2 linked regions of the Diceros bicornis minor genome follow. The protein of the gene in region 2 interacts with the protein of the main gene of each other region in a pairwise test. Links are inferred from orthologs where the notes say so. Each region holds a gene or a part of one and is shown on either strand. Other genes may lie near its edges.

Region 1 (16,234 bases), on a different chromosome or scaffold from region 2:
GAGTGGGGCCTGCACCTTCTGCAATCAGATATGGAGGACTCAGGCCAGACTGGCCCTCCCTTTCCCAGGGCCTGCTGCTCATCCCCAGACCTCTCTTGCCCATCAGGGTACCAACCCACCCTGGTGGAGGGGAACAGTGTCTGAGCAATCCAATTTCTTTCGATGCACATTGACGGTAGTTTGCAAGCGCTGGGTCACTGTTCCTACTTCCCTCCTCACTACAGTTGATCTACAAATCTAAGAATTTCCTCCACAAGGTTTAACTGAAGGATGCTAGACCAACTACACGAGGCCAAGGTTAGAAACGCTCCAAGCCTTGGAATGTTAGAATAATGGATTCAGAGAATCTCAGGGCTTTTTTGAAGTCTTAAAATCTCAGCTGAGGCCTCGAATGTGAAGACGGTGGTGGTAGGGATCCTCACATTCCAGAAAGAAGGGCCAGGACTGGCAAAGAGGTGCTCAAACATCCCTTCTGCAGCTTCACACAAGAAGGCTAGAGATTTGGTGAAAAAGCATTTGAAAGGAAGGTGCAGGAGCAGGAAGCACCATGGCACACCACTGTCCTGGAAAGGGAAGGTGGGCATCTCTCCAGCCCCGTCCTGGTGACCCCACAAGGAGACCAGGGGCCTCATGTAGGAAGGGAAGATGACACCTCACTTCCCAGCTGGACCTACAGCCCCGCCTGTGTTATAATGGAGCAGAAGACAGAAGAGTTCTTGGGACACCCTAGTGCTTAAATTCAGGAGTTTGGTGCATGTGATGAAGAGAGAGACGAGAGCCAGCTCCTTGCTGGAGAATTCTGATGGCGAGAGGCTCACTGGAGCTGCTCATGACAGCAGCATCTGAGCAAAATGCACTTCCAGGCCTTGAAGGGATTTGGGGAGTTTTCCTGTGGGCCGAGGGAATGTCTCGTGGGAGGACAGGGTCCTGCCTGAGCAGCAGCCCACCGGGTACCCCAGGGGGCTCAGCTGGAGCAAGGCAGAGTATTTGGGCACCTGCCTCTCAGAGGCCAGGTACATCAGCCCCAGCAACACCACCTCCACTTCTCCCCTCCATCCCTTCTTCCTCTCCCCAACCCTGGAGGGGCAGAAGCAGGGAGGGGAGGGAGCACAACAAGCAGAGTAAAAGGGCACTCCTCACAGCCTCATCACCACCCAGTCAGGCCTGAGCCTCGTCCAGGCTGAAAACTGGATGGCAGACCGAGTCCTGATTTGGATTGGACCTGAGGATGAGAGAACTCAAACGCCTAAAACTGACCAGAAAGCTAAAGGTCTGCCCAGGAGGTCACCAAAGGGCGAAGAAGGGAATCCAACAAAACAGGCTTTATAAGACTGTTGAGGAATCAAAAATGAAACTGTTTCATGACGATCCCAAAGTGAGATCAGCCACTTCAACACCCCAGTTGCTGTAACAGCATAAACTCAGAGATTTCAGAACGAAGAGATCCAGTGTCGCAGAGCCTGGGACTGTCAGATCTCTGGATCTCAGAGCTGGGGGCTCAGCACCCGGATCTCCATGGGGGCCCTTCATCTCTGGTAACCCCCATGCCAGCCGCTCCAGGGGCTTGTCCTGCTGCTCTCTGAGCCCCGGCCTCACCCCCTTGACCAACATGCCTCTCCTGCCTTCAGGATCTGCAGCCGGACCCTGAGCCAGCCAGGAAACCCCCCTCTCGGTCTTCCAAGGGAAGGAACTAAAACTCCCAGAGCAGTGTGATCCCTGCTGGTTCCAGAACTTTCTCAGGGAGAAGATCTCATCATGGGAAGTGACTCATTCCCTTTGTCCACTGTTATTCACTGTACAGGGGCACCCAGCTGGCAAAGCCATAGCCAGGGCTGTGGCACCCAGGGAGGGGCATCTGCTTCTAATTCTCATCGAGGCTGCCATTTGCGTGCATGCCATTCTCAGATTTACACAGGCACCACACAGGCTAGGTGGTGGCTCTGCCTGCTTCCCTGCCCCTAAAGACCTCCTGCCCCAGCACTCCCTCCCGCCGCCCCCACCCCTGCACCAGCTTGTTACCTTCCTTGGAGAAGGGGTCGAAAAGGGCAAGCTCAGCCTCAGTGAGGGGGCCTCGGGCAGGGGAACTGGACGCCTCCTCGGTGCTCCCACAGTCAAAGAGGAGACCCAGGGCCTCCTGGGCAGGGCTGGATGGCGGGGGGTCCCCTGAGGAACAGATGACGGGGGACATTCATGCCTGCCCGTATCATTTCCCAGCTTTCAAAACAGAATGACCCTCTCACTGAATCCTTGCGCCAATCAGGGGCATAGACAAGCCCATTCTTAGGGTTTGCGCCCATTTTACAGATTAAGAAACTGTGGCCTAGAGAAGGGATATGGCCTGGGCAGAGTTCCTCAGCAGGTTGGTGGCAGAGGAGCTGGGACACACCTCGGGCTTTTTACTAAGATCCCTGAGGAAGGTGTGGTCCCACCCCCCGGACCCTCCAGCCCTGGCTCCCTCCCCCGCCACGATGTACCTGGCACCTCCAACTCCTCCAGGCCTCTCCTCTCTGCAGGGAGCGGCTGGGGCAACCAGGGCTCATCAGGCGGGGGTGTGGGGATCAGAGGAGGTGGCAGGATATGCAGGTCCCTGGACACCTCGGATGGCCGTGTCACCTCCCCACCCTGTAGGAGAGAAAGACCAGCCAGGGGAAGTCACAGGGCACAGCCTGGCGGGCAGCAGGCTTCCCAGGTGCTGGGGAGGCCAAGCAGGGACACTTACCCGGAAGAACTCCTTGAGTTGGGGGCTGTTGTTGAGCGCAGGGATGTGCACAGTGAAGCGAAGCAAGTCCTCAGCGCCCTTCCGCCGCTCCTCAATCACCGAGGCTTCAAACCGGCCTGCAGCCCCCCAAGACAAAGGGCGGGGAGAGAAGCAGTGACTCACAGAGGCCTCTGGCCACTTTTCCTGGTTCCACCCAAGAGGATCTAAGTAGCCCACTGCCCCCTCCCCATTCTCCCAGCAATCTTCCCTGGCTCTTCCCGGGGTGCGGGCACTTGCAATCTCCCTATTCACCCATTTACCAGATGTTTATTGAGTGCCTAGTATGTGCTAACTTCAGGGGGTGAATGAGAAAGAAACAAGGTCTCTGCCCTCATGGATATCACATCCTAGACAGGGGGAGGCAGGCAACCAACAAGAAACCAAACAATTTCAGCTGACTTTGATGCAACGGGCAGGAAAGTGAGGCTCAGAAAGGGAAAGTGACTTGCCCAAAGTCACACAGCAAGTTGCCCCATTTTTACAGTTTTACTGCTCTGTTCTTGGTATCACGCAGAGTTCTCTAACTCTGGCCTGGTTATCATGCTACCGGGGGAGCAGCCTGCTGCACTCCCTGCTGTCTGGCATAACCTGCCAAGAGTGACCCTTCATCTTGCCACAAAAGGCATCTCATGTGAGTCCAGACCCAAGTAACAGCTCTGCCCTGTCCAAGAGAAATATAATATGAGCCACACAGGTAATTTAAAATTTTCTCATAGCCACATTTTTCAAAATTAAAAGAAACACATTAATTTTATAATATATTCTATTTAACCCAACATATCTACAATATTCTCATTTGAACATGTAATCAATATATAAATTATTGAGATAGTTTGCATTCTTTTTTCAGTGTGTTTTCAACATCTCAGTTCAGACTGGCCACATCCCCGCCGCTCCTCAGCCACATGTGGCTCATGGCTGCTGTTTTTGGACAGCACAGGTCTAGAGGAGACATCGGCTATGGATAGGAATTCTGGTTCACTTACAGGCCAAGCCCCTTCATCTCCCTCAGCCTTAGTGGCCTCATCTTGAAAACGGGGCTAATGACAACAGGAATGTTAAAGGACCCGACAGTCAATAAGGGCGAGGCTGCTCTGAGCCTTGGTTTCCCCACCCGTAAAGTGAGGCCATCTCTAAGGGCCCTTCCAGCTCTCTGAAACGTGTCTTTGCTGGGAGCTTCAGGCCCCCTCTATCCAGCCCCCACCAGCAGGGTCCCCTTTGCCAACTCTCCCTCCATCTTGAGGCTGAATGCTTGGATCAACACTCACCGAACACCTGGGCGCGGGGGAAGGCAGGGAACTCCTCTAGGCGGCGGAAGAGGTTGCGGTGGGTGTAGGCTAGGTCTCCGTGCAGCTTGCGGAAGTCGCTGTAGCGCCTCCAGACCACCACCTAAGAGGGACGGGAGATTGACCCGGACCAGCAAGGGTGGGAAGCGGCCTTCCCCACCCCCAGCCTGGCCCCAGGGTGTGCGGATTAGGGCACAGGGAGGAAGCGGGGCTGATCTCCTGGCAGGGTTACCAGCTGCTCCTTTACTGTTTCCAGATCTCGAGTTGGGGAATGGTCCCCCTTCCTCCCAGGAGCCTCACCTCTTTGACATCCTCCGGGTCCTTCTTTGAGATGAACTGAGGAAAAAAGGCAAGAACCAGGTGAGACCAGAGACTGACATCTGACTGCTGAGGACCCCGTAAAATCTGAGGACGCCCCAGGCACCTCCCAGCCCCCCTCACAGGGGCAGTGCACGTTGGCCACTGGCCACTGGTATCAAGGTGTCCTGCCTTAAAGGCGTTGAGTGTAACTTTGAGCACTTTTTCTACAATGCACCTCAGCTTCTTCATCTGTGAAATGGGAGGATCCCCAAAAGCCCGTCCATCCTCAGCCCAACTTTTATCTCAGTTCCTTCAAAGGGCCAAGTCCCTGTATCTCCTTCTGAAACCAAAGAACCCCAAGTTCTCTAGAGAAACAAGGTTCTGTCCCAGGAGCCACTCCTTCCTTAAAGCAGGAAGCCCCTGTGCTCGAATGCTCCTGGACACAGAAGAAACCGTCACCGGGGTCGTGACCCCGGGAAAAGCAGACTGGGGTCTGAGGTGGAAAGAAGACTCGTTTTCATTATAATTGGTTCACAATAATTAAAAAATAATATCCTACAGCTGGGAATACTTGACAGTTTTCAACATTGCCTGTTCATTATCCTAGATCCCAGGGAGGCAGACATGATTAACATGCCCATTTAAAAGACAAGGAAAAGGAACAACTAGAAGGATGTGCAACTATGTCATACAACTACCTACTGGGGCTTTGGGGAGAAAAAGGGAAAAAAGGAGGAAGACTGGCAACAGATGTTAGCTCAGGGCCAATCTTCCTTAAAAAAAAAAAAAGATGAGGAAACAGAGGCTCAGAGAGGGACGTGACCTGTGCAAGGTCACACACTCAGTAAGAGGAACTGACAGGACTGAAATCCTGGCCTTTGCTTTTCAGAACAGACTTGCCTAAAGTATTTTGGGTAAAAGAAACTATGTTTAAAAACCATTGAGGAATGTATACGTGACAAAGGACTCATATCCAGAGTATATATAAAGAACTCCTACAAATCACTATTAAAAAGACAAACAATCCAACTTTAAAAAATGGGCAAAGTACTTGAACAGGCACTTCCCACAAAAGAAGATGTTTGAATGGCCAATAAGATTACAAAATATGCTCAACATCATTCTCCATCAGAGAAATGCAAATTAATACTCCAATGAGATACTATACATCCACCAAGAACAGCTACAATTAAAGATGCTGATGACGTCACGTGCTGGCAAGAATGGGAGTATAAAATGGTACAACCACTTTGGAAGACTGGCACTTTCTAGGAAAGCTACACATCTGCCTATCTTATGACCTATTCCACTCCTAGGTATATATCAAGGAGAAATGAGTGCGTATGTCCATAAAAAGACTTGTACATGAATGTTCATACAACTACACTCATAACAACAAAAATTTTTTTAGAAACAACCCAAAGGTCCAATAACAGGAGAATGAATAAAGAAATAGTGGTTTTTTATACAATGGACTACTATTATAGAGCAATAAAAAAGAACAAACTACTTATACATGCAACAGCACGGGTGAATTCCAAAAACACCATATGGAGTGAAAAAGACCAGACACAAAAGAGTACATGCTGTGTGATTCCATTTGCATGAGGTTCAAGAACAGACAAAACTAATCTACGGTGACAGAAGTCAGGACAGCGGTCACCTCTGTGGGAAGAGGACTACCAATTGGAAATATGCAAAGAATCTTTCTGGGGTGATGGAAATGTCTATATCTTGATCTGACTGGTGTTTGCACACATGTATACATGTGTAAAAATTATTGAGCTGTACACAAGATTTGTGCATATTACTTTATGTATATTATATCTCAGTTTTAAAAATTTAAAAAGTGAAGCAATAAAAAAATTGAGGAATACCAGCAAATGAATAAAACAAGCTGCAGAATGCTGCTGTGTGTAAATAACAGTAATAAAGTGACTACATATATTTGCTTTTAAATGTAGAATTTATCTGCAAGAATAAAAAGAAACTAGCAGCAATGGTTCCCAAGATGACAATGAATGGGGACGGTAAGGGAGGGACAATTATTTATCTTTAAAAGTTATAAAAACATAAAGTAATGCATGTTACTTGTTTAAAAAACCAAAAGAAAGATTTAAAGGAAAATGTTACAGACCCTTCCCACCCTTCAGTTCATCTTCCCAGGGACTATCTTTTTATTTGTATTTTTAGGCATAGGAAAGACATTATAAAAGATTTGGGGAAAGCTCATTTTAAACATCTAGGATTCTGCGCTTAAATCACTTTGAAAGTGTCTTTATGCTTTGCTTCACCTTAATAGTTACTAATGCATCAGTTTAATAGTTGCCTCGTTAAAATTCTAAAGGTACAAAAAATTTACAGTGAAGTCTTCCCCCAACCAGTTCTTGTATATCATTCTAGGGATAGTCTGTTACACTGTTACTATTTTAAATTCTTTGCATGGTTTCCTCCATGTCTCTATACAATGCGCTTATAACACTGTTACCGCTTCATATATCAACTTTAGTCTTTACCTATTGACTGCCTGCTATGACCGTGAAGATGGAGACTTACTCCTTAAGTTCTTTTGAACTGTATTAATTTTTAAAGTCAGAGACAAGTATTAATTTTTGAAAAATTAAAAATAAACTCTTTAAAGGTCTTTTATGTAAATATCAAACAAACCAATAAATAAAACTTACTCCAAGAGATTGGAGAACTAATATTTGGGCTGCCTCGGAGTTTTCACGTTAACTTAAAGAAATTCACAGCCCGACGCCCAGATACTGCACGCAGGGCGTGGGCACCCACACTCGGCGGGTCTGGGACCTGCCATCCACGCCCTTTTAAAAGGACAGCACCCTCCCATGGCCCCGCCCCCTGACGGCTAAAGAAGTAAACGAAGACTCATAAAGCAGCCTCCCCTTAAAGGGGAAATACATTTCTGTCGTCTAAGAAGGGAGCTTGCAGCAGCTCCTTTGCCTTAAGGTAAAACACGGCCCCACCTCTTGTTAAAAGGGTAAAGGTCCCCGCTGGGCCCCACCTCACCTGCGCGGTCACTTTGTACTCGGTGTAGCCCTTGGGGTGGGTCCGGGGATCGGAGACCGTGTAGTGCCGCACGAAGTCGTCCTTCGCTTGGCGGGACATGGCAACCGAGCTGGAGCGGAGCTGACCGCCGGCCTCCGCCTGCGCCGCGTCGCCCCCGCCCCTCGAGGTCAGCCTCTGCCAGTCGCCACCTCTCCTGGGCCTGCGCCCTTCATCCTCCGGCCCAGGGAGCTGGTCGTAAGTGACAGCGCAGTTCTCGGCCCAGGCACATGGCCAAGGGAGCGTCTAAAAAGTTCTCTGTCGTTGGTAAAGCGTAAACTAGGTTATTTGAGAGTAAAGATTCGGGAGATTGGATCACTCATCTCTGCCGAGAGATCAAGCCCACCGTATCCGAGCGTAAACCCTCATCACACATATCCAAACGACTGCTCACTGCTTCCCAATTCCCTTCTTTCATCCATCCACCCAACTTTTATTGTGTCCAATATGTGCAAGAGGTAGCCAAGTTATTTCCCTGTCTCTCTCCATGGGATTCGCTAATTCATGTTTTCTGGAAGGGTCGGGGGAGCACGATGGTGTCACCGGTTCTGAAGTCAGACTTCTTACTTAGCTGTTTGAATTTCCCTTAACTACTCAAGCCTCAGTTTCTCACCTCTAGAATGGAGATGTTTATAATAGAATCTACAGCAGGAGATGCTTCTTTTTCTCCTTTACTGGTCTGTCCAGCATTCACTCCCACTTCTTTGTTAGTCCCAGAGCACCAGATCTTTGTTTGGAGGTAGTTCTCTTGTACGTGTAGACCTCCAGCCTCCTACCCTGGAATCCAAAGGTGCCAGCTCCTTTCCTTGCCCCAGGTCCCAGGTCGGGGTGGGGGACTCTCTCCTGAGGTCTTGAATCTTGAGTGAGGGACAGAGGGCACAGGACTTGGCAAGGGGACCACTTGTTCCTGGAGTACAGAGTTGGCTGTGCTTTTGGCTGCCCAGCCTTTGGAGCATTCTATTTCCCAAGCCTGGACATCCGGCCTCCATTACAATGCCTTGAGTCCCCAGAAGCGTCCTTTCTGCTGAAGGCAGTTGTAATCTGTGTCTAGGGCAGGCCATCGAGGACCTCGATTGCTACCACCACCACCGGGTTGTGAGGCTTAAATGCGGTCATGTGGGTGAAGCGTTCAAGTGCTCACCGCCACTCTTGTTACTGGAACTCAGATGTGTGGGCACTGTGGGCATTCCAGAAAGAAACACAAAGCAGATTCCCAAATCAGACTCTCGGAAGCCTGGAAACAAGGTAGTTCATCCAGGAGGTGTTGAGGAGGAGGCCCAGATTTGGAGTGGTGTCTCCTGGCATGTCACACCCCAGGGCTTCTCTAAAGGAGCCCTCTGGACATGGCTCCTCTCTCCAAAGCTCTCTGGGCAGGGCTGTGGCTCCAGTCTCCTTCTCGCCCATCATCTCCGCCCCACTCCCTGGCCCAGCAGCTCCCAGTTCTCCCCTTTGCCCCTTCTTTCTCCCTGTCCCCTCCAAGCCTTTTCCTATCTAAATCAGTTTAGTCCCTGGCCTTCTCCAGATCTCCAATTCCACCAGTTCCGTCACTAGGAGAAGCAAACAGAAGAGCCTTCTTAGAAGGCAGGGGAGAGGGAGGAGCTGCAAATACACAGCTGTAGGGGGCCTGCTCCCCACGTGCCCCCTGGGTCCGCTTGACCATGGGCTGCACACTTCCTGCTGTGGCTCATCCTCCTCAGCCACGGGCCTTTGAGATGAGCAGAACCTTGTTATTTTCGTTTGTCTCTAACCATGTATAATTTGCTTTTTAAATCAAGGATGTTGCTTACTAAGGGCCCTCAGGAGGACTTGAACACTGGGGTGACTCACCGGATCAGTGGATGGCTGGGCTCACATTGGTTGGATCTGCTTGAAAAAGGCAGAGTTCCTAGTGTTTCAAATAATAATTATAGCTAACATTATCCAGTGTTTATGACACACAAGATACCCTCCCATTTTGTCCTCATCCCAACACTAGGAAGTAGGTGCTATCATCTTTCCCCTGATGGGGAAACTGAGGCACGGACACGTTAGGCAACTTGCTCAGCATCAACCAGTGAGTGGCAGAGCTGGGGTTTGGCTCTGGAGCCTGGGTGTGGTCACTCGCCACACCCAAACCCACTCGCCAGGGTTTGGGAACAGGGGGACCAGCATCCATCTTGCACAGAGGACAGGGTGGGCGGTTCTAATGTTCTACCTTGAAGGACAGTTTATGTTCTAAGGTTGTCCATCCAACACCCATTTCCCTTCTTCCGTCCTGACAGAGCCCAGATTTTGCACGGGTCTCTGCCCCTCCAGGAGGGGATCCTAGTGCCAGTTTGGAGTAAATCTCTGTCTCTTCCTTGCCTTTCCCTTGGGAAAACCGCCCTCCCCTCATCTAGACACATTAGGCCTCCTCTCCCTGGCATTTGAATCTCGAGCAGAGACAAAAACTGAGAACAGTTAGTAGAGTGTAGTGGCTAAGTGTGTTGGGTCCGAACCCCAGGTCCCCTACTTCCTAGCTGAGTAGCTTTGAGCAAGTCATAACCTCCTGAAGGCTCGGCTCCCATATAAATGGGAATACAAAGGGTCTGGACCACTTAGGGCTGTTCTTCAATGAGATGGTAAGTGCCTCAAACAGAACCCTACAGACTAAGCAGCCACTGGTGGGACCAGAGCAGGGGGCCTTGTGAAAACATCCATCTGTCCTGCCACTCTGGGGTCACCCTGGTTCCCTTCCTTTCCCAGCCTGGCCCCTGCTTCAGAGAGTGCCCTATAGCCTTCAGGGAAGGCTCCTTCCCGGCTCTGCCCTGTTAGCTAGCCCTGCTTGGTGCTCACATCCTCCTACACCTGAGTCCTCACCCGTCCCCATTTCCCAGGAGCCCTTGCTCTTCAGCTTGAGCCAATGTTGCCTCGTATAGCTGCACAGGTTGTCCACTGCATGTGGGCTCCTAGCTGCAGCCGGAAATTGGGAGCTGGAATTCAGCCCACGTTCCATTCAATAAGCCGTGAGCCCGGATGTGGGGCTGTGTCCCTTTTTCTAATTCACACCACTGAGGGCAGCAGTCGCTCTGGTAAACTGTCTCCCCCTTCCTCTACCCAGAAAACTTCTACTCATCCTTCACTCCCAGCTTTAACGTCACCTCCTCTGGGAAGCCTGCCTGGATTCTTCCAAGTGGAATTAGTTGCCACACTGTCCTGTGCTTCTATAATTCTTTGCGCATCTCTTTGACACAGCAGCAGTTAACCCTCTGATTGAAATGATCTGTTTCTTTCTGTCCCCTGCTGGACTGTGGGTTCCAGGCGGTCTCGAAAGCTGTTGAATCAATAAATGACTCAGCCAGGAACTGGAGCAAAGAATGGTTTATTCTCACAGCTGAGCAAAGGACGAGGCCCACAGCCTTGAGAGCAACACAGGCAGCCCCCTCCCAGCCCCAGCCCTCTCCTCTTGGTGTGGCAGCTGCAGGCGGGCCAGGTCAGGAGCCAGGGTTACAGCCAAGGTGGCAGCCCTCCTGCCGTGGGAGCTGGCTGGCCATGGAGCGGCAGCGGGCAGCAGTAGCAGCAGCAGGTTACAGAGGGGAATGGGGAGTGTTAATTGGGCTGGCTGATGCCCATCCCCCCATGGATGGTGCTTGGTGAGGGCCTGGTTGGGGGGTCCTGGACTTCGAGGTTGGGGGGCATCTGGAGCGACTCAGTCGGCTGTGAAGATGCGGCTGGAAATGTCGTCCAGGAGCCAGTCGATGCCGGACAGCAGGTTCTCCCCGGTGACGGCGCTGCAGCCCTGGATGCACCAGTGGTGGCTGCGGATGGAGTCCAGCTCCAGGGCCTGGGAGGGTGGAAGGCGCTGGTGGGGCCCAGTGATCACAGGCCCTGCCCGCTCACAGCCCCCCTCCCTCTCCAGGCCCAGGGGAAATCCATGCCTCCCCCAAGGTCCTGCTCTGAGAAGCTTCCCCTGGTCCCTGGTGAATATTTGTCAGCCCCCGGAGGCATGTGGGCTGTCTATACATGCCACGCCAGCCTACCCCTTAGAAATGGAATAGCAACACAGGCTCCGAGCATCTGCTAGGATCCAGGTATTGCGCTATGGACCCTACAAATGTCCTCTCAGCCATTCTGCCCAAGGCTCCATGAGCCAGTGTTGGCCATTTTACCAAGGAGGAAACCAAAGCTCAGAGAGGTTAAGCAACCTGCCTAAGGTCACACAGCTAGTAAGTGGCAGAACCAAGATTCTACCCCCACTCTTTCTCATATTGGTGCTCATGTTCTAGAATAAGAGTTAAGATGCACTCACTGGGATCAGATAGTTTTTAAATCCTGGCTTGTCTACTTATTGGCTGTGTGACCTTGGGCCAGTTACCTGATCTCTTAAGCCTGCTTCCATCGTAGAATGATAATAATAGTTCCTGCCTCATGAGGTTGCTGTGGGACTTGAATGAGTTGATCCATGCAAAGAGCCTGGCATGCAGAAAGTGCTCACTCTTTGTGGCTACTGTTAACCTGTGGAATAATCTATTTGCAGGGCTGCCGCCCGCAGGCTGCGAGACACCACCGTGTCTTATTAATCACTGAGTCTCCAGTGCCCAGCATAGGTCCTGCTGCATGGCAGGGGCTAATAAATGCTTTTTAAATAAATTAACACAGAAATGCGTGCCCCTTTTCCTCCGTGAGCCCGCGCCAAGGCCTGGACTCACCTCACGGATGGTGTTCGAGGACAGCGCTCCGGGCAGGTCCTGCTTGTTGGCAAAGATGAGGAGGGTCGCTCCAGCCAGGCGCTGGGGGAGAGAAACAGAGGGGCCCAGGGGAGGGGGCTCAGAGGGCAGCCCGGCCCCTCCTCTAATCACCCAGAGCATCTGCGGTCAGAGATCAACCTGAAGATCAGGGCAAGGCCCCGTGGAGGTGGGAGAGGCCCAAGTGGGGTGGGCAGTGTGGACATGGCCTTTGAGGCCGGCCAGACATGGGGTGGAGGGAGCCCTGGGCTGGGCCAGGGTGCTGGTTCCAGCCCAATCACTACCCAGTGGACACTTCTCTCCTCCGTGCCTCAGTTTCCTCTTCCACAAACAGGGAGGGGGTGATCCCTGAGCCCTCTGTGGTTCTAGACTGCTCCATCTCATAACCTGACATGCACAAAGAATGCGTGTCCCGAGGGGCCATGGGATCTGCTGGAAGTGACCTTCCTCTTCCAAGTTCATGTAGCCCTTTAACTGTCCCATCACCCTGACAGGCCTCTGCCTCTGATTCTAGTTATTTCCATATATGTGTTTGGTCCTGGGAGTCCCTCCATGTGGGTGGGGATCTAGCCCTTATGAAGGGCCTGACGTGCCAGGCCTGGGCATGTGACAGCCCTGATTTCAATGGACTTGCTCGACACCCCAGAGAGGCAGCTACTGTTATACCAGGTGACCCTAGGTCCTTGTGTGCCCAGGACAGTCCCGTTTATACCTGTTGTCCCTGCATAATTATTAACAACTCTCTTTAATCTTAAAAGTGTCCTGGTTTTCAACTAAATGCAGTGCAGTAGCTGGGATCAAATCCTGGAACAGAGAAAGGCCATTAGTTGAAAAACCTGATGACACTCAAGGTGGTGAAGTAGGGACATAAAGGGATGGGAACCCAGGTCTCGGTCCACAGCGTGGCCTGTCCGCAGCACTGCGGGCCTCCCTGGACCAGGTATACAGGTGGTCTCTGCCTCCCCAAGGGTGCTGGCTCAGAGAAGGAAGAGATCCCACCCCAGGTGTCCCTCTGGGGTCAGGGGCCCCTCAGGAAATCTGCTGAGGAAGGTGTCCACACGTCCACGTGTGTGCGTAAAGTATCGGGGCCTGGATTCTGGCGGAAGCCCGCTCCCCCTGCTCGGCCAGGCACCCCGCCCACCTCCTCCACCAGCAGGCTCTGGAGCTCCCGCTGGCAGTCCTGCATGCGCTGGCAGTCGGCGCTGTCCACCACCCAGATGAGGCCGTCGGTGCTCTCAAAGTAATTCCGCCAGTAGGACCGTAGGGACTTCTGGCCGCCCACATCCCAGATGTTCAGCTTGAATCTGGACAGGGAGGGGATGCTTGGAGGGTCAGCCTGGCCCCTCGTCCACCCTCTCTGCCCTGCTCTCGGCCGGCCCGCCCACAGGGACCCGCTCACCCTCGGTGCTCCAGGGTCTTGATGTTGAAGCCCAGCGTTGGGGAGATGGTGTCGATGTCTTCCCCATTGAACTTCTTGAGGATGGTGGTTTTGCCAGCATTGTCCAGGCCACTAGGGCACAGGTTAAGGAGCAGTCTCCATGCTATGCAGGGCGGTGACATCATTATAGCGTCCCTGTCTTTAGGGGACAAATCTTTTCCCACCACGTATCAAAATGAGTTGAGCACATGCCTGACCCACAATCGGCCCATGATAAATGTGAACCATGATAAATGTGAAAGTATCAAGAAATAAATATCTTATCATCTCCTCCTGACCAAAGGCTCCTTAATTCATTTCACAATATTTATTGAATATCTCCTATATGCAAGGCCCTCTTCTGTGCAGGGGAAACCCAGAGTAAAAGCCCTCTCCCTTGTGCAGCTTACACTCTCGTGCAGAGACAGTTGGTAGAGTGCAAACAAATGGGAAACAGGTCCTGTTGGATCTGGGGAAACTTCAGAGATACAACGAAGAAGCTTTTGGAGACGGCCATCAGGGAGCTTCCTTTAGCTCGGGCACCTCTCTGAGGGTCTTGAGCTGAGGCAAACTACAAGAAGCCAGCTTTTTGAAGGACTGAGGGAAGAGCATTCTAGGCAGAGGGAACAGCACAACCAAGTATCTGGTGGCAGCCACCGTCACCTGTTTCTGGAATATTCCAAACCCTTTGCTGCTGAATGAGTGTGCAAACGAATGGGTAAGTTCACCAGCTGGAGAGAACCACCTCCTCTTTCCTTCCAACACTTAAGGGGGCTTGCAGCTGGGAGGGGGACCCAGGCCCTGGCCTCTGCAGCCTTTCTGCTCACTTGACCTGGGTGAGTGACTCAAACCAGTGAAATGGGGGTGAGAGAGAACCTCTCATGAGACCCAGCCTCAGCCCCAGATTATCTCCTCACCCCCAACCCCATCATCCACGTTTCCTTCTCTGCTGGATCATTCCCATCAGCTGAGAAGCTGGGGTCTCTCCACCTTAGAAGAAGCAAACAATACCCTCCCTTGATCCCTCTCCCCCCTACTTATTCCTCTATTTCCTTCCCCTTATATCAAATCTCTTCAAAACCGTTGTCCAGGGCTGGCCCCGTGGTTAAGTGTGCGCGCTCCGCTGCTGGCGGCCTGGGTTCGGATCCCAGGCGCACACCGGCGCACCGCTTGTCTGGCCATGCTGAGGCCGCGTCCCACATACAGCAACTAGAAGGATGTGCAGCTATGACATACAACTATCTACTGGGGCTTTGGGGAGAAAAATAAATAAATAAATAAAATTATAAAAAAAAAACAAAAAACCGTTGTCCATACTCGCCCTCTCAATTTCTGTCCTCTTGCCCTTTCTTGAACCCGTGAGGCTCCCACTGCTTCCTGGAAATTGCTCTCACTGAGGTCAGCCCCTAAAGACCCGCACGTAGCCCTCCCGTGGCCGGGCAGTCCTCACCCCTCGTCTTCCTGCTCCATCAGCAGCACGTGAGACAGCGGCCTGCCCCTTCCTCTGCTCCAGGACATGCCCTTGCCTGTACACCTGCCTCCCAAATCACCCATCCTCATCTCCCTGACCTCTTGATCCAGGTAAGCCTGGGTTCCCTTCTCTGTCCACACTCATCCTCAGTGCTCTCACCCAGGATCACGGCTTCATACACCATCTTTATGCTGATGACACCCAAATTTATACGTCCCACCCAGCTGCTCCCCTGGACATCAGTCCCTACATCCAGCTGCCTATCTGACATTTCTAGGATGTCTCAGAGGAGCCATCTCAGCAAGTGGCTCCTCTTTTTCTAATTGCTCAGGGCAGAACCCTAGGAGTCAGGCTTGATTTCATTCTCCCTCTCACACTCCCAGCCAATCCAGCAGTAATTCCTGGGGGCCCTACTGTCAAAATGTCCCCCAGCTTCCATCACCTCACTGCTTCCATCCTGGCCCAAGCCACCAGGCTGTCTCTCCTGGGTTAGAGCAAGGGCCTAGCTGGTCTCAGATCACACCTCCCCTCTGCACTGCACTTAAAGAAAAAGCCATGAACCACAAGGCCCTACAGGAGGTGGTTCTTCCACCACCTCTCTGTCCTAATCTTCTAGTATTCTCCTTGCCCATTCTCTCCAGCCACATTGCCCTCCTTGACGTCCCTTTGAACACACCAGTTGAGCTCCTCCTTCGAGGCCTTTGCCTGTGCTGTTCCCTTTGCTTAAACAATCTTCCCCACATACCTACATGGTTCATCCCTCACCTCTCTGTTTTAATCAACTGTCACTTACTCAATGTGGCCTTCTTTAACCAGCTTATTTAGACTGCATTCTATTCCATACATACTATATATTTTACTCATTTGCTTTGTTAATATCTTTCTCCCCCCAGCATCATAGAACGTCCATGAAGGTAGGATTTTTTTATTTTGCTGTTTCCCCCAGCACCTAGGGCAGCGCCTAGCACATAGTAAGCGCTCAATATTGATCGGATAAGTGAATTCTGTGCCTTTCTGGGAGCTCTTTAAGACACGATGTGACTATTATTTTAACTTATTTGCGCACATAAATGTCTCCCTTCCCCTGCTAGGGGAGCTCGGGGTCAGGCCCGCCCAGCTCTCAGATCGCAGAGCCCCCACGGGTCCCTCACAGAGTAGGGCGAACCAGTGCGGACGCCTGGTAATGGGACTCAGAAGGTCGGCGGGGCCCCGGGCCTACAGGCCGCCAGCCGC
Region 2 (16,871 bases):
TGAATCAGTAATTCTACTTGCATGAATTTATCCTACAACACATATAACAGTATGCATTCCGAAAGAAGTGCATATAAGGGTGTTCACGGCAACATTATTTATAACAGAAAAAGCTGAGAAACAACCTAAATAATCATCAATAAGAGACTGATTAAATAAAATATGGTACATCCATATACCTTGTCTATGTAAATAAATGCTTTAACTCATAAAACTTGAGACTTTTATCGGGAAAAAATATTGTAGTAATTCTAGTACTATACAGAATATGAAGTCAGCATTCATCTATAACACTGTATTCATTCAACAAATATCTGAGTGTCTACACCACATCTAAGGCATTGTGCTCAGCAATGGAGATATAATGTCATATAGTGCTTTTCCTCAAGGAAAAAAAGGTCATATAGCCCCCCTCCTCAAGGAGCTACAGTCTAGTGGAGAAGAGAGATGAGTAAACATACCATTATCATATATATAGTATGATATATACAATGAGGTAAGAATAGAATGTTATGGGAACAGATGAGGAAAGCAACTTAAAAATTAATAATCACCATTCCAAGAAACAAAAAAACAGTAGCTTAAATGTGAAATTATCAACTCCTCCTTTAGAGTTGAAAAGAATGATGAAGCCATCAGTCTGAGAAGACCTTAGCATCAGTAAAGCTGGGTCTTACCATTCTGCACTATATTCTACACTAGCTAGACACAAAGGCCACATTCACCCATTTAAACACTGCTGACAAACTATGGTTCTGCCCTTACAGTTCCCATTCCTGGTGCTGTACCCACACGGGGACCTTCCAGTGTCTATATTTAGAAAGAGAAATAAAAAGTCTCAAAGAATGTACTATAAGAATAGTGTATCTGCAACATTTACTTCTATTTAATCAGAGGGTCCAGGGAAGAATCAAGAAATATCATCCATTTGGTTGGTATTTTTTACCTTGAGCTAGCAAAGTACCTCTAAAAGGTGCCATTTAAATTAGGGCCTTGTGGCCGGCCCCGTGGCTTGGTGGTTAAGTGCGCACGTTCCGATGCTGGTGGCCCGGGTTCGGATCCCGGGCGCGCAGCGAGGCACCACTTCTCCGTCCATCCTGAGGCCGAGTCCCACATACAGCAACTAGAAGGATGTGCAGCTATGACATACAACTATCTACTGGGGCTTTGGGGGGAAAAAATAAATAAAATCTTAAAAAATAAATAAATAAATAAATTAGGGCCTTGCGTCAGTAATGTTTCAAATAAACTGCTTATAGGTGTATTATGAAGCAACTACACATAACACAGAGCCAATTACTGGACAATAGATAATATGCTACTTTTTAGAAATGTTTTATATAATATAGAGCAAATTTAAGTTTACAGTGATACAGTGCTAAAACAGCGTGTTTTCTAAATACTCTTCCACATAATCAGATATTTATCAAAGTTTCAATAAATATATTCATTATTTTAAAAAAAGATTTGAGGGAGCTTGTGAGTTACTTAAAAAGGACTATAAATTTGGCACTGAACTTCATAGGAACCAATCTGAATTGTAATTCACCTTATCCATAAGGAGCACATCACCTGTTCCCAACTTTTATTCCTAGTCAAAAGATTAAAAATGGCTTAACAACAGAAATTACCCAGAATCTCTAAATTCATTGGTTCTATTCCTTTTTATCATTTTCTAGATAAAAATGGAAGGAAGATGGGGAATGGATAGGGCATGACATCTTTTTCTTTATAAGCATCTACTTCCTGGGAGCGTCACATCACTGTTTACTTGTTAAGAATTGATACTTAAGATTTAAACTACGTGTCACTCAAAATCTTTTAACATTTCTAATATGTGCTCCTATGCCAACATAAATGATCATATAATAAATGTCTTTATAAAAGACTAATAGTTTTTAATCACCAAGCCATAACCTATACACATGAGCAATATTAAATTCTATACAAATTTCCATTGCAATTAACAACTTTGAACAGTATCTGAAATTGATTCAACTTTTTTTGCATTTACATCCAAAGTCTCCAAGTCTTATCAGTCCTTCTTTCATAAACTCTTCCGAACCTAACTATAAAAATATACATTCACAGCCAATCAAAGAAATCACGCTTCCCTTCTATTCCATTTTCACTGAATGAACTAGTAATGAACTAGTTCAGGCTCTACTCACCTGTCTCAGAACTACTGCAAAAGCTTTCTAAATAGTTCCCCTGTTTTTCTTCCCAACCTATCTAAAATATTGTCACCAATTCATTTTTCTAACACTGCTTTCATAATGCCACGCCTCAGTTCAATAATCTTCAATGGCTTCCCAATACCGAAAGCAATAATTCAGGAGTGTGGTGAAAAAACATGAAATAACTTTATACTTGGGAAACAATAACAAAAACATTTTTGGTTTCATAATATAAATTACTGAAAGCAAGAGCAACTATAGATGAATGAGCATGGTAACAGCAGGATGATAAAACCCTAATTCCTTAATTTGGCATTGAATTCAGATTCCAGATCTACCACACATTTTCAATCTTAATTAACACTAGTTTAGAACATGTCCAGAGATCAGCTCAATGTCATCCTTAATGATAATGTTTGCATTTCTCTCAACTCAATTTCTATCCGAAGTTGCCCTTGCATATCCTCAAAGCCTAGGTTAACCAACCACCTTTTCAACTTGAAGCCAAAGGTTTCACCATGAAAAACGGTCACCACGCGAGAGGCTTCAGTCTCACTTCAGTTACCGCACTGCAATGGAGATGCTCCAAGCACCATAGCAAACAGCAAAATTACAACTTACCAAGTGATGGAAATAAGAGTTTACTCAAAAATAGTGTAAACGGCAATGCTAAATACACGGTGTCAGGGTTCTGCCATACTCAGTAACATACACCCTCTTCCAGCCAGGCTGGTCTATGTTTCTTTCTAACCGTGCTCTGCATATTTCTCACTTTCTTTGTCTTTACTCACATCAGTCCTCTCAGGTCTTCTAAATCTTCAAAACTATATTTTTACTCCAAATCACAATATATTTAAGGAGCATATTTCTAAAATAAACAATATTTTCCTTAAAAAAAGCCAATCTTTCTACCATGGGCTGTTAGACACACCCAATGATCTAAGTGTAGCCCACCTCTTGACCCTCACACCACTCTCCCCTTTGTTTTTCTCACTAGTCTTTTTACCAAATTCTCAAATACACAAAGCGCATTCCTGCCTCAGGGCTTTTGCCTCCTCGGAGTTGCTTGGAAATTTTTGATCTCTGCAGCTCAAATCTCACCTCTTCAGAAAGGCCTTTCTCAGTGCCACCCTATCTAAAAAGGCCCCCACACATCCCAATCATTTTCCATGCCATCATCCTGTTTATTTTCCTCATAACATTACCACTACACTGAGTTCCTTATTTATGTGCTTGTTATCTGTACTCCTCTCATGGGGAGCACATGTGTCTTGCTTACTGCTATACCCTGATAGCCAAGAACAGTGCCTGTCTCTGCAGGTCATCAATAATCAACTGAATGAATGAACAAACTCGGTTAAGAAATCTAGACTCACTGAAATGGTTTAACTATCCATGACCATAATCATGATGTTCCTGCATTTAATAAAGGAACTAAAGGTTCCAAATAGGCATTGTCAATACAGAATTAAGGAACTATGCAAAGATAGAGTCCCTGAGTGGGCAACTCTCCTTTGTTTTTCAAACTTAGTATTACAAACGTCAAATTCCAAGGGAATGCTGTCACCTCCCGAATCCCTAATGTTCAAAGAACAGAACTCTTCTCTTTGTTCCCATGCAGGAATACAAAATGACAAATTAGTATGCTCTTGTTAATCATTAAATTTCCCATTTGCAAATTTATTACTTTCTATTTTTCTACCTTACCTTAGTTTCTCTCAAATATGTGTTTCTGATTCAGAAAAAGGAAAGACTGAGTTACTCTTCATCTTCTAATATCTTGAATATAGTGATTAGTGTTTTGAGTAATGCTTTGGAGTATGTCAATATCAAAATGTTACTCAAACATCACAGTTGGCTTATTTTCCTGTTGCAGAGCAGGAGTGAACTGAAAAGAGAAATTTCTTCTGTGATCTCAGACTGATTTTATTTTTCTAGAAAATGAACCATTTCTAAAATCCTTCAAGGCTATGAAGATTTCTCAGCAGGGAGTTACATTACCATAGTCCCCCCTTATCCATGGGGCATACATTCCAAGACCCCAAGTGGATGCCTGAAACTGTGAATAGTACGGAACCCTATATATACTATGTTTTTTCCTATACATACATATCTATGATAAAGTTTAATTTATAAATTAGGCACAGTAAGAGATTAACAATAATTAATAATAAAATAGAATTGTAACAATACACTATAATAAAAGTTACGTGAATGTGGTCTCTCTCTCAAAATATCTTAGCGTACTGTACTCACCCTTCTTCTTGTGATGATGTGAGATGATACAATGCCTATGTGATGAGATGAAGTGAGGTGAATGACGTAGGCATTGTGACGTAGGGAATTTTCCATTTAGTATTTTTGGACTGCAGTTGACCGTGGGTAACTGAAACCGCGGATAAAGGGGGACTACTGTACCTGATTCCTGACTTTTACATATACTTAAAAGAAAGGTCCTACTGCTAGTGGGTCACTTTCTGTCCCAAAAGTAACAAGCTACTTATTAATAAGTTAATATACTGTCTATGAATTATCAATCTCTAACAAACCTGACTTTTTCTCTTCCAAAATAAACAATTAGCCAAGATGAAAAGCGTAATGAAACAATGTTCCTAAAAATAATATACGATCAGGTACTTATATGAATGAAAAGATTTGAAAACTATTTACAGATTTGTCTCTGTCGACCTAAAACATATAAAATCTAAGAAACAGTATTTCTAACTAACATATGAAAACGTCTGTCTCAAAACATTTCATTAAGTCTGACAGTAAATCTGCCACAAATTCAATTGGCCTATTCCCAGCAAGGAATCCACAGGCTTCCTCTTCTTTAAAAATGTCAACCATTTTGCCTTTTCTTTTTCTACGATTCAATTCTGATGCATTAAGAAGCTAAACCAGCCCACACTATCAGCAATTCCTCTCACTCTGCGGCTGAGACCCCGGCAGAACTGACCCCGCTCGGAACACAATGCCTAGATCCCATTTCCCTGGCTCGGTTTAGCTGGTGCGGAGTCGCCACATCACCAGCTGGGCGGTGGCAGGACTTCGCCAGAACTCTCTCCTTCCCAATTCTCCAAGCGCCACACCACTGGAGGCGCTCTCCCTTCACTGCAGCTGGGTCATTGTGGACATTTTCCACTGGGCCAGCTCCCCGCCAGCGCAACAGGAGCGGGAGGGGGATGAAGCGCATAGGGGCCACCCAAGCCAGGGAGCGGGTAAGGAGGGGGACCAGGGCTGAATGCGGGCAGACAGACTAGCAGCGAAACTGCGCCTTTTCCCCGGGGGCAACCCAGACCGGTGGACGAAAGATTAGGCCGCCCAGGCCTTTGCAACCTCACGCCGGAACCAAGCCAGCGCAATGAATCTACAACCCTAGTTCCTCGATACACACCCGGCTCCGACTAGGGCTGGGTGCCTGACTTCCGGAACGCAGTGGAACGGGGAGCAGAGGGAAGAACCTGGGGGACGGCGGGGCGCACGTGCTCCCGATACCGAGACAGACGATAGAACCAGCCCGGGCTTCCTCGGCCGCCCCACCCTGCTCCACGCGGTTCCCACCACGGGGGGCGCCTCCGCCCCGAGGTCCGCAGACAAAGCCCCCTCGGAACCAAGGGGAGGGCTCGGCCCGAGGCATCTGGGAAGGCACACAAAAGAGGGAGGGGCGCGAGGGGCGGCGCGGAGCGGGAGGGCGCTGCACTCACCCACTGAGCCTGAGGAGCCCCTGCGCTTGGGCGCGGCCGGGGTGGAGGGGGGCGCGGCAGGGGTCGGCACGGGCGGGGTCCACGCGGGCTGGGCTTGGGGACTCACGCCGGACGGGGGAGGCGGGGGAGGTCTGGCCGGAGGCTCGTCGTCCTCGGGGAGCTTGGAGGGCAAGACTGCGGCAGCGGAGGGCAGGGATGACGCGGACACCGCCGACGACGCGGGGCTCGGGTCCCAAGACGGCGCCCGCTCCGGGGCGGCGGGGGGCGCGGCCGGCAGGGGCCCCCGGGGCGCCGGGGGCACGAAGTCATTGCCGAAGTCCAGCAGGGGCGCGCCGGGGCCGGGGGCGGGGGCGGTGGGCAGTGGGGCCGCCGACAGCCCGGCGGCGGGCTTCCTCTCCAGCACCTCCAGCTCTTCCAGGTCTTCGTCCTCGTCCTCGTCTTCCTCCTCCTCCTCTTCCTCCTCGTCCTCGGGCTCCCTCACGAACTGGTACTTGAACGGAGGCTGAGGCCGGGGCGGGCTGTCCGAGGACGAGGAGACCAGAGGCGACTGGTCCATGTCTTCCATGGCTGGCGGGTCGGGGATGATGCTGCAGCAGCTGCCGCCGCCGGGACGCTTCTCCTCAGAGCCGCGGGCGGTTGTGGGGGTTGAGGAGGACTGAGAGGGGCAGGGCCGAATGAGCCGAGAGACCTGCAGTGGTGACGGCTCCCGGAACAATGAGACTGCTCCTCCTGCCTCCGCGCCCGTGATGCGCCACCCGCCCCGTCCCCAGTTGCCGCCGCCGCCGCCCAGACGAGCGAAGGAGAGAGGCCAGCAGACTCTCCGCCCAGTTTGGCGTGACTCACCCTCCCCGGCAGGGAGAGGCAGGGACTGGCGCGGGAGGGAGGAAGCCAATCGGCTACGGGATAGAGACGATGGGCAACAAGCCGGCCCAACGGAAAGGAAAAAAGAGGAAGGTGGGTGGGGCTTATCGCACTTCCTCTCTCTTACCGGCTGGGGTGGGCTCGATGGGCGGAGTTTGGAACTGGGAGCCCCACCCTCCACCTTGGGTAGGTGCGGGTCGAGCTGGGGTCTTGGCTTTGCCTACAGCTGGAGGTCAGTCTGTAGTTAGGGTACTGCGAAAGCCAGCCAGCTGACTGCCCTGATGGGTCGAAGAGCTTCCTGCCGCGCCACCGGAAGGGCGTTATCTTGGGGGACTGGGAGTGGAAACTTCCCTCCCAGGAAAGGGAAGAACCCAGAGTGGAGAAAGGTACTAACTAACGGGACTGTGGAGTAGGCCCTAAGGATTGAAGTATACATTAAATTTTAAAAGATTTTGAAATAAAAGATATTTTTTCAAACAGATTTTCAAACCACCTCATCACTATTACCATTACCACCTTAAAAGAAAAAATAATGTTTTTTGACAGTTTTGAGATCACTCCCAGTCTATACTGCAGACCCTGGATAAAGTAGGCAAAACAGAGCTGGACTAGACGATCCGGGGTCTGGAGCAGACCGTTTGAAAATCCGCTCATCTCCTCAGGATAGTTTTGGGATCTGCCCGCTGCTGGACTCGCACATGGTAGGAGGATGAGTCACCCGAAGAGAAAGGGAGGGGAAAGAGGAAAGTGGAAACAGAACCAAGCCTTGGAAGGCATATTTGGTTCCCGTTACATTTCAGTCACCTTAGGCTCATGAGTCAACATTTCAGATGATTCAGGCTTTCTGGGAGTCAGGAAGCCCAATACTCATTTCTTTGATATACCAGAATGAGCATGATCCCCATTCCACTTTTTCCAAAACTGGAGAGAGAGTTTAAAGAAAGTGGTTGCAGAACATTTAAGTATCAGCATCCAGAGGTTTAGAGAGCTCTTTTATCTTTCTGATATACCTTCCAAAAATATTCGCTGCATGTCTAATCTGGAGGCTGTGAAGAAAGGAGGATAACCTGCTTTCAAGTTGCTCGCAGTCTAGGCCTGCACTGTCACTATCCAAGACCTTAGTCACTGGCTACTTGTGGCTGTTGAGCACTTGAAATGTGACTGCTCTGAAATGAGATGTGCTGTAAGTTTAACATGCACACGTGGTTTTGACAGTAACAGAAAAATTAAATATCTCAATTTTTATATTGGTTATGCATTGGAATTGATAATATCTTGGATATATTGGGATAAATATATTACTAAATTAATTTCACTTTTTACTTTGTTAATGCAGCTTCTAGAAAAATTTAAATACATATATGGCTCACATATTTCTATTGGACAGTGCTAGTTTAATGATTAAGAATTTTTGATTGCCATGAGGGGAATCACTGATTATTTAAGCAAATTCTTATCTCCAACTGATTAATATTACCCTAGGCTTAATTTGAGCATTAACAAGGAAAGGGAGGGGCTGGAGGAGGGAGGAAGGATGAATAGGCAGAACACAGGAGATTTTTAGGGCAGTGACACTATGCTGTATGATACTGTGGTGATGAATACATAACATTATGCATTTGGCAAAACTCATAGAACCGTGTGACACAGAATGAACCCTAATGTAAAATGTGGACTTTGGGGTAAATAATATATCAATATTAGTTCATCAACTGTAACAAGTGTACCACACCAATGCAAGATGTTAGTAATAGGGAAAACTGGTTGGGGGGTGAGCATGGGAGTGTACGAAAACTCTCTCTTCTGTTCAGTTTTTCCGTAAATGTAAAACTAGTCTAAGAAATAAAGATTTTTTTTAAAAAACAGAAAATTTTTATTTCTAAAAAATGGTTGTGAATTGCTTTGAGCTTGTTTGGTTTTATTTATTTATTTGTTTGTTTATTTATTTATTTTGAAGGGTTAGAAAGAGTAGGAAGAGAGAAGAATTAGTGTAGAATTTGGGGGCAGGAGGTTTAATGCCAAACTAAAAATTTTAAAACAGATTCCTACAATGATAATTAAATAGTCATATTTTTAAATATTTGTCAAAAATTATCAAAAATGTACGTGATTTCCAACTAAGTGTATACACATACAAAAATATACTGGTAAAATTTTATGGTATGAACTTTTTCTATTAAGTCACAATTTGGCTATCAGCAGTTCAATCTTCCCCTTACTGGCTTTTCCACTGTGGTTGTTTTGAAACTCCTCAGTGGACAATTTCACAGGATTTTCATATATTATTTGTCAGTTGCTTATACGATATGTCTGCATCCATATATCTGTGTACCTGCTATTACTAAAATAGTCACAAGGGAATATCTTTATTAAAACTGTCATAAAAGAATGATTACAGAAAAGTGGTAGATTTACAATTTAACAGTAAATAACAGTAAATATTGAGGCAATAATATAAGTACGGTCCTCTGTTGCAGAAGAAAAATAAGAATTTTATATTATTGATCTCAGCGACTTCTAAAAAATTAAGTGTTTGATGAATAAAAAGGAAAGAGTTTACCCAGCGTTCATAGAATGGTCAACAAAGCATAAGGAAAGGAGAATGTTGCTGCTATACCAAAATTAAAAGTAGAGTTAGTGTACTTACATTAGTGTAACTAGATGTAAGAATCACTTTCACTAATAAGAAAATTCTGGTTGATATTTGAAATGGCTAAAGGAATAATATAAATTGTGGATCATATTAATAGTTAGAAATTAATTATTCCATGAATTATCTTTGGGTTATCTTACCAGATGTAGAAGATTCAAGTTTCCAGATACCATGGGTTAGTAACTTCTGTCTTAGAATGCTGCAAGAGGTCCATTCAGCCTGATGGAATCAGAGAATCTCAGAATCAGAAGGACTCTGGGAGGTCTGCTTGACCAGTCTCCCTCCCATTACAAGAATTCTCTACAGAAGGTTTTTTAAACTTGAGCATCTGTGGTAGATTAAAAATGGTCACAAACTCTTTGCAACAACTCCCATCAAGAGTTTGGGTCAATTTCCCTACCTCTTCTGAGCTGGCCTTGTAACTTTCTTGACCAATAGAATGCCCTGGAAATGAGTTCCAAGCCTAACCAGCAGAGGCATGACAGCTTCCACTCTCACTCTTGGAATGCTGAGGCCCACGACGCGAGACACATGGAGAGAGAGACCTCGCTGTCCCAGCCGTAGAGCTGATGTCCCAGAAATGTGAGACCATCTCAGACTGTCCAGCCAACCCACAGAATCATGAAAAATAATGAATCATTGCTGTTTTAAACTACTACCTTTTGGGATGGTTCATTACACAGCAAAAGCTAATGGAAACATCATCCCTTTTGTGCTTCTATTTTGTGCCTTATTCATTCATACACGAGGTATTTATTGGGTATTTACTCTGTACGAAGCACTGTGCAAGATTTAGGAATACAGCACTGAACAAATCAGACACAAATGTGCTTGAACATTTTCAGTAAAGGGAGACTCACTACTTAGGCAAATAGCCCATTCCATTTCTATAGTAGTATACCTTATTGCAGAATGCTGAGTTGACGCCTAATCTGGTATACAGAGAACAGGTTAATTATCCTTGCATCATGTATGTCCCCTGAAAGAGTTAAAATGTGTAGCATGGATATACTCTTGCCTGCATATTGCAGGATGCAGACTTGAGAGTGGGTTCAGCAACCATAGGAGAAAGATGAGAGGCAAGTTCCTGACAACCCTGTTTCAAAAGCTGTGCACCACAACTTTTTTGCCCACTGAAAATGACTTGCTTGTGTTCAATAGCACCACTGAATTACATTCAACCTTTGTACTCAAAAAAGATTGAAGCATCCTTTTGGAACTCATAATGGCTATGTCATTATCCCTACCATCTTGCTGGGATTTTAGATTTCATGATTTCATGAAATGTACCTTTTTGTGAAATGCATTCCTGGTTCTGGTTAACATCTTGACTTATACTAAGTTTATTCCGTAATAAATGTAAAGAAATAAATGAATACATAAGATCAACATCTTCAGCCATGCTAGTTATGCATTGACAATTAGCGCTGGACCTAAAATTAAAAATTTAAGTTCCAAAGAGAAATCACATAATAGACAAGTGAAAGTCATTATTAAAATTGAACCTCATCCTTCTCCTTTAACTTTCTTGGGTCCTCTGCATTAATACTGCATTTCTTTAGGCTAGTTTAATATGCATTATTTCTCTGGTGAAATTTATTTTGATCTAGCAGAAAAACTATTTTTGGTCCAGCAGAAAATTAATTTTTATCTAGCAGCACAAATCCAAGCAAAGAAATTCCTAAACCTATCTTAGACAAATAAAAAATCTGTCCTCATGAGAAAAAAGAACTACAGAGAAGAGTTCACAAAATTATCTGAGTTATAAATAACAGATTCCAGGATATAACCCACTCTTTCTAATACCTAAAGATTGAAGTATAAATTTTGTTGTTTTATCATCTATGGAAATAGAAATCAGGTGGTCACTATCTTTAGAATAAACACTATTTATTCAACTAAAATCTATTGAGCATCTAGACCCTGGTGATAAAGAGTAAATAAAACACATTTCCTAATGTCAAGGAACATAGCATCTAGTTTACATAAGAATATATAGGTATATATACATATATGTGTGTGTATATATGTACGTATGTGTATGAATATATATACTGTATGTATATGATATATATAGAGAGCGAGACAGACAGACATAGACATATTCCAGCAGGATTTTGAGAAGTCTTCATATAATAAGTTAATATTTAATCTTTTAAGATAGAGAAAGATAGACAGGGATCTAAGGAAGGGGAAATAACACCTTCAAAGTCAAGGAGGAGTGAAACTCCAACACAGATTCAAGGCATAGAGAGGTCTCTAGTATAGCTAGAGAAGTGGAAGGTGATTGAGGTTAAAACCAGAAAAATAAGCTAAGTACGGACTGTGAAGGATCTTCAATGCTACGCTAAAGAGTGGAGGCATTATTCTCTAAATAGAGAGCTATTAAAGGTCTTTAAGAAGGATGGTGGGATGATCCGATTACTAATTTACAAAAATAACACTGATAGAGGATGGATTATGGGTGCTAGAGTAAGGAAACAGAATATTATAATATTTCAGGTAATCTTTGCCCAATAACTTTATTATAGCTACTGTGGTTTAAGTGAAACATAATTACTACTTGTAGTCCAGGCAAAAGTTGATGAGAGCCTAAACTAATAGCATAGGAGATAGGAGAAGATACATTTGAAAAACATTTAAGTTGAATTCATAGAATTTGGTGGCTAATGGTATGGAGGGGCTGATGGAAAAGAAGAAAGAAAAGCTGATTCTAAGCTTTAAGGTTAGGTGACAAGGTAAATGGGTGCTGCCATTATCAAAGAAAAGAAGTCAGGAGAGGAGCACGGAATGGGTGAGTAATGCTAGGGAGAATATAATGACCTAAGTTTTTAGATACATTGAACTTGAGTTGCCTGCAGAGCATTTGAGTAGAAATAATCAGAAGGCAGAAGCAAAACTAGGGCTGGAGCTTAGATCTAGTCTGGAGAGCAGATACCTAAACCTGTTGGTTAGGTTTCATGGGTAGAGGTTTGAGGAAAAATGGTGGGGTACGGAGAGAGGATGGCCAAGCAGGGTGATGGATACTGTCTGCTACCCATGGGAGAAAAAGGCCTTGAATAGAGCCCTGGGAAACATCAACACGAAACATCTCTGGACGTACTTGAACAACATTATTTCCATTTAACCTTTACTTTTCCCAGGCAAAACAACTTAAAAAAGAAACAACTCACTTTTGCTTTTCTTCATAGGTCTAGTTCTTTAGTTTTTAAATGGGTGCTCATTTTATCTTCTCCATTCACCTTAAATATTAAACTCAGAACTCAAAATAGTATTCCAGTAAATGCTTAGTATAATTATATTTAGCACTAAGTAATCTATAGGTACAGGGACAGCACCAACAATTGAAACCACAGATAATCCTTAAACCTTCATTAAGCTGGTAGCTTCAGCCTCTTAGCCAATAACAAGTAGTAGAATTGCCTGGTAGACTTTTCCTCTTCCTGTAACTAACCATCCACCAATGAAGATGCTAGAGAGAAAGAAATGGCTGGAAGAAAAGCAGTAAGAGATTAAGCAAGCTCCATTAAATTACAAAATTAACTAGATAATAAATTATTCTTTTATATACTACTTGTATTTATGAGGTATAGGATTTTTTTTTTTTTCCGATGAGGGAGACTGGCCATGAGCTAATATCCATTGCCAATCCTCCTATTTTTGCTGAGGAAGATTGGCCCTGAGCTAACATCTGTGCCCATCTTCCTCTATTTTGTATATGGAATGCCGCCACAGCATGGCTTAATGAGCAATGTGTAGGTCCACGCCAGGGATCCAAACCTGCAAACCCCAGGCCGCTGAAGTGGAGAGCTCAAACTTAACGACTACGCCACCAGACCAGCCCCCCAAGGTATAGGATTTTTTTTAAAAAATCAACAGATCTATATTACTCATACTCAACTTGTTTTCTACTTTCCAGAGAACCCAGGAACACATTCATCACCCGAAATGCTGTAGTGTATTGCTCTGCCTGTGTCTTTTTTGAAACTCATTTTCCTTTTGTTACTACAAACTTGTTGTGATCTAGCATTTCCATTTTATCTGAGTTTTATTTATTGTCCTGAGTGGAAATTTTTTCTGTCAAGTGGTAAAAGAAATGTTGTAAATCATTTACACATGATAAATGCTATTTACTCTAATGAGTTAAATATGGCGTCTTATCTGTTCATTTCCTCTTCCTCCCAAAACCCCATTAAAATGTCAGTACAGCAATAAAAATGGTATTAACCAACAAGGACAAAGAAAATAAGAGAGGAGACAACAGTGGATAAAATATTTCAACACATTTTTGAAAGACAAAAAGCAGAGGAGCAGTTACTGACTTAGAAGACTGTATGACGTTACAACCTAAATACCTCTCAAGGGGCAATATCAACTAGACGCAAGTCATTTTGTGCCACAGAACACTTGAGAGACTCAGCCCCTGGAGGTGCCAGATTGAAAACAAGTGGATTAAGTAAAAGAGAAACCTTGGCCCCCATGTTCCCTCCCTGCTCCCAGAAAGTCTACCACAAGGCTTAAACATATCTCTGCTGCCCCATCATTACTGCTCCCCCAGCCCATGCTGTCCCCTATACCTCATTCTCCCACAGACAGGAAATTGGAGACTTCTTTTGTGCAGAAACAAAATGGTTGCAGTGAAAATTCCTCAAAGTATTGGCATTTGGAGTACCCCAGTAAAAGACCTGATCGGTCTCACCTACCCCCTTTTCCCCACAGAGCTTCCAGTCCATTTTTTTAGTACTTCGCTTTTAAACATAAAACAAAACACAAGAACCACCAGACACTTGACAAAAGCCCTGAATGAAAGCTAAAAATGAAAACAAACAGAAAAAGAAACTTGAGGGAACAGAGACATATAGAGAACAGAAGAAAATATCAAAGAAATTATAATATTTAGAGAGAGATAAAAGAAGATATCACTCTATAAAACAAAAACAGAAACAATAAAAATTGAAAAAAATCAGAGAACATGAGAGTTCATAAATTAAAACCAATTGTATGTTCATAGCAGCATTATTCACAACAGCCAAAAGGTAGAAACAACCCAAATGTCTATTAATGGATGAATGGAAAAACAAAATGTGATATACACATACAATGAAATATTATTCAGCCTTAAAAAGGAATAAAATTCTGATACGTGCTACGACATGGTTGAACCTTGAAGATGTTACACTAAGTGAAATAAGCCAGACACAAAAGGACAAATATTGTATGATTCCACTTATATGAGGTGCCTAGAATAGTCAAATACTACATAGAGACAGAAAGTAGAACAGTGGGTACTAGGGGCTAGGGGAAGGTGGAAATGGGGAATTAATGTTGAATGAGTACAGAGTTTCAGTATGGGATGATGAAGAAGTTCTGGAGATGGATAGTGGTGATGGTTGCACAAAAATGTGAATGTACTTAATGCCACTGAACTGTGCACTTAATGGTTTAAATGAATAAAGTACATTTAATGTATATTTTTCCACACTAAAAATTTTTTAATTGCACTTTTTAAAAATTATTAGAAGTGTTGGAAGATAAATTTGAAAAATCTCCCAGGAAATACAAAAAACAAACAAAAAGATGTATTAGCAACAAACAAGTGGAAGTTTAAGGTTTTTTCTTTTTTTTTAAAGCAATACCATTTACAATAGCAACAGAAAACATGAAATATTTAAGGGTGGGTTTAACAAAATATGGCCAAGACCATTGCACTGCAAACATTGCTGAGAGAAATAAACTAGAAGAACTTCAACTTGATTTCAAGATTTATAATAAAGCTACAATAATTAAGCCAGTGTAGTATTGGCATTAAGATAGACAAAGAGATCAGAGGAACAGGATAGAGAGTCCAGAAATAGACTCATAGATCCACATATAGTCAATTAATTTCTGACAAAGGTGCCAGAGTATTTCAATAGGGAAAGAATAGTCATTCCAACAAATGGTGCTGGATGATTGGACATCCATATACAAAAAAACCCCCAAAAAACCTTTAATCCTTATCTCACATCATATTCAAAAAAACTAACTCAAAATGAATCATGGGCCTAAATAGAACAGCCAAAACTAAAATTTCTTGAAGAAAACTTAGAACAAAGTCTAGGCAAGGATATATAATGAATGCTGTTGCAAGAGTAAAAGGGTACAACCACTTTGGAAAATCATTTGGTAATTTCTTATAAAGTTAAACATATCTAACGATATGACCCAGCAATTTCACTCCTAAGTATTTATCCAAAAGAAATGAAAACTGGAAACAACACAAGTGTTCATCAACTGGTGAATGAATAAACATATTGTGGCTTTGGAATCCACCTCAGCAATGAAAAGGAACACACTATTGATATACACAGCGTGGAAGAAACTCAAAAGGATTATACTAAGTGAAAGAAGCAAGACACAAAAGCCTATATACTATGATTCTGTTTGTGTGACATTCTGAAACAGGTGAAACTACCAGGGGTAGGCGGAGGGAGGAAGTGAGTGCAGGGGGGACCAGGGAACTTCTAGGAGTGACAGTGGTGATGGTTACATGGCTATATATACTGTCAAAAGTCATTGAACTGTATACTTAAAATGATTGAACTTAGGGGCCCGCCCTGTGGCTTAGCGGTTAAGTGTGCGTGCTCCGCTACTGGTGGCGTGGGTTCAGATCCTGGGCACGCACCAACGCACCGCTTGTCTGGCCATGCTGAGGCAGCGTCCCACATACAGCAACTAGCAGGATGTGCAACTATGACATACAACTATCTACTGGGGCTTTGGGGAGAAAAAGGCGAAAAAAAGGAGGAGTATTGGCAATAGATGTTAGCTCAGGGCCGGTCTTCCTCAGCAAAAGGAGGAGGATTGGCATGGATGTTAGCTCAGGGCTGATCTTCCTCAGCAAAAAAAAAAAATCTTGAAAAAGAAAATGAACTTACTCAATACAAAGCTGATTTTTTTTAAAAAAAGACAAAGAGATGTAATTTATAAGACAAAGATTAAAAAGTTAGAAGCTCAGTTTGAGAGGCCTCTGAAATCACTAATAAGAGATCCAGAAAGAGAGAACAGAGAAAACAGTACTTTTCCTATTAATCTAATTTGTCCTCTAGAAAGATGAACTTGCAGTATGGTGCTTCATGCTCCATGACAGAGCATTATTTAAGAGTTTACATTTTAACTTAGCCCAATAAATGTGTGCACATTTTCCGGGTGTCAAGAAATGTTTTAAGACTGTTGATTAAACAATTCTCCTTCTCTAAATCACCCTCTATCTCTATGAAATTGATAGTGCTGTAAATAAAATCGAAGTCTGGCTTAAGCTGTTGTTTAGATCTTAGAATTGGGGCTAGTTGCTGTATTCAGGTGACTATGTACTGTGCAATTTTTTAAAAAGAATCTATTATTTAAAATGAATATTTCTTAAGCATATTGTACTTTCATTGCTGTACCTCTGAAACCCAGCCATTCATCTTTTATTAACAGCTTTATTAAGAT

The links.
Region 1: the proteins of RTN4 (region 2) and SNX15 interact in binary tests that used the Homo sapiens proteins (3 or more experiments, as listed by UniProt). The two-hybrid records come from large-scale screens. The link is inferred for Diceros bicornis minor from reciprocal best matches to the Homo sapiens genes RTN4 and SNX15.

The regions. Positions count from the first base shown.
Region 1 is NC_080770.1:8,106,669-8,122,902, forward strand, and holds the start of SNX15 (sorting nexin-15), read right to left. Parts: upstream 7,589-16,234; 5' UTR 7,474-7,588; coding exon 7,375-7,473; intron 4,381-7,374; coding exon 4,345-4,380; intron 4,148-4,344; coding exon 4,027-4,147; intron 2,836-4,026; coding exon 2,720-2,835; intron 2,623-2,719; coding exon 2,475-2,622; intron 2,164-2,474; coding exon 2,020-2,163; intron 19-2,019; coding exon 1-18. Other genes in the region: ARL2 (ADP-ribosylation factor-like protein 2), read right to left, coding at 11,078-11,212, 12,078-12,158, 13,255-13,417, 13,513-13,623. UniProt on the Homo sapiens protein: May be involved in several stages of intracellular trafficking. Overexpression of SNX15 disrupts the normal trafficking of proteins from the plasma membrane to recycling endosomes or the TGN.
Region 2 is NC_080751.1:31,378,137-31,395,007, reverse strand, and holds the start of RTN4 (reticulon-4), read right to left. Parts: upstream 6,724-16,871; 5' UTR 6,450-6,723; coding exon 5,885-6,449; intron 5,833-5,884; exon of another isoform or gene 5,818-5,832; coding exon of another isoform or gene 5,575-5,817; intron 4,564-5,574; coding exon of another isoform or gene 4,434-4,563; intron 1-4,433. UniProt on the Homo sapiens protein: Required to induce the formation and stabilization of endoplasmic reticulum (ER) tubules. They regulate membrane morphogenesis in the ER by promoting tubular ER production.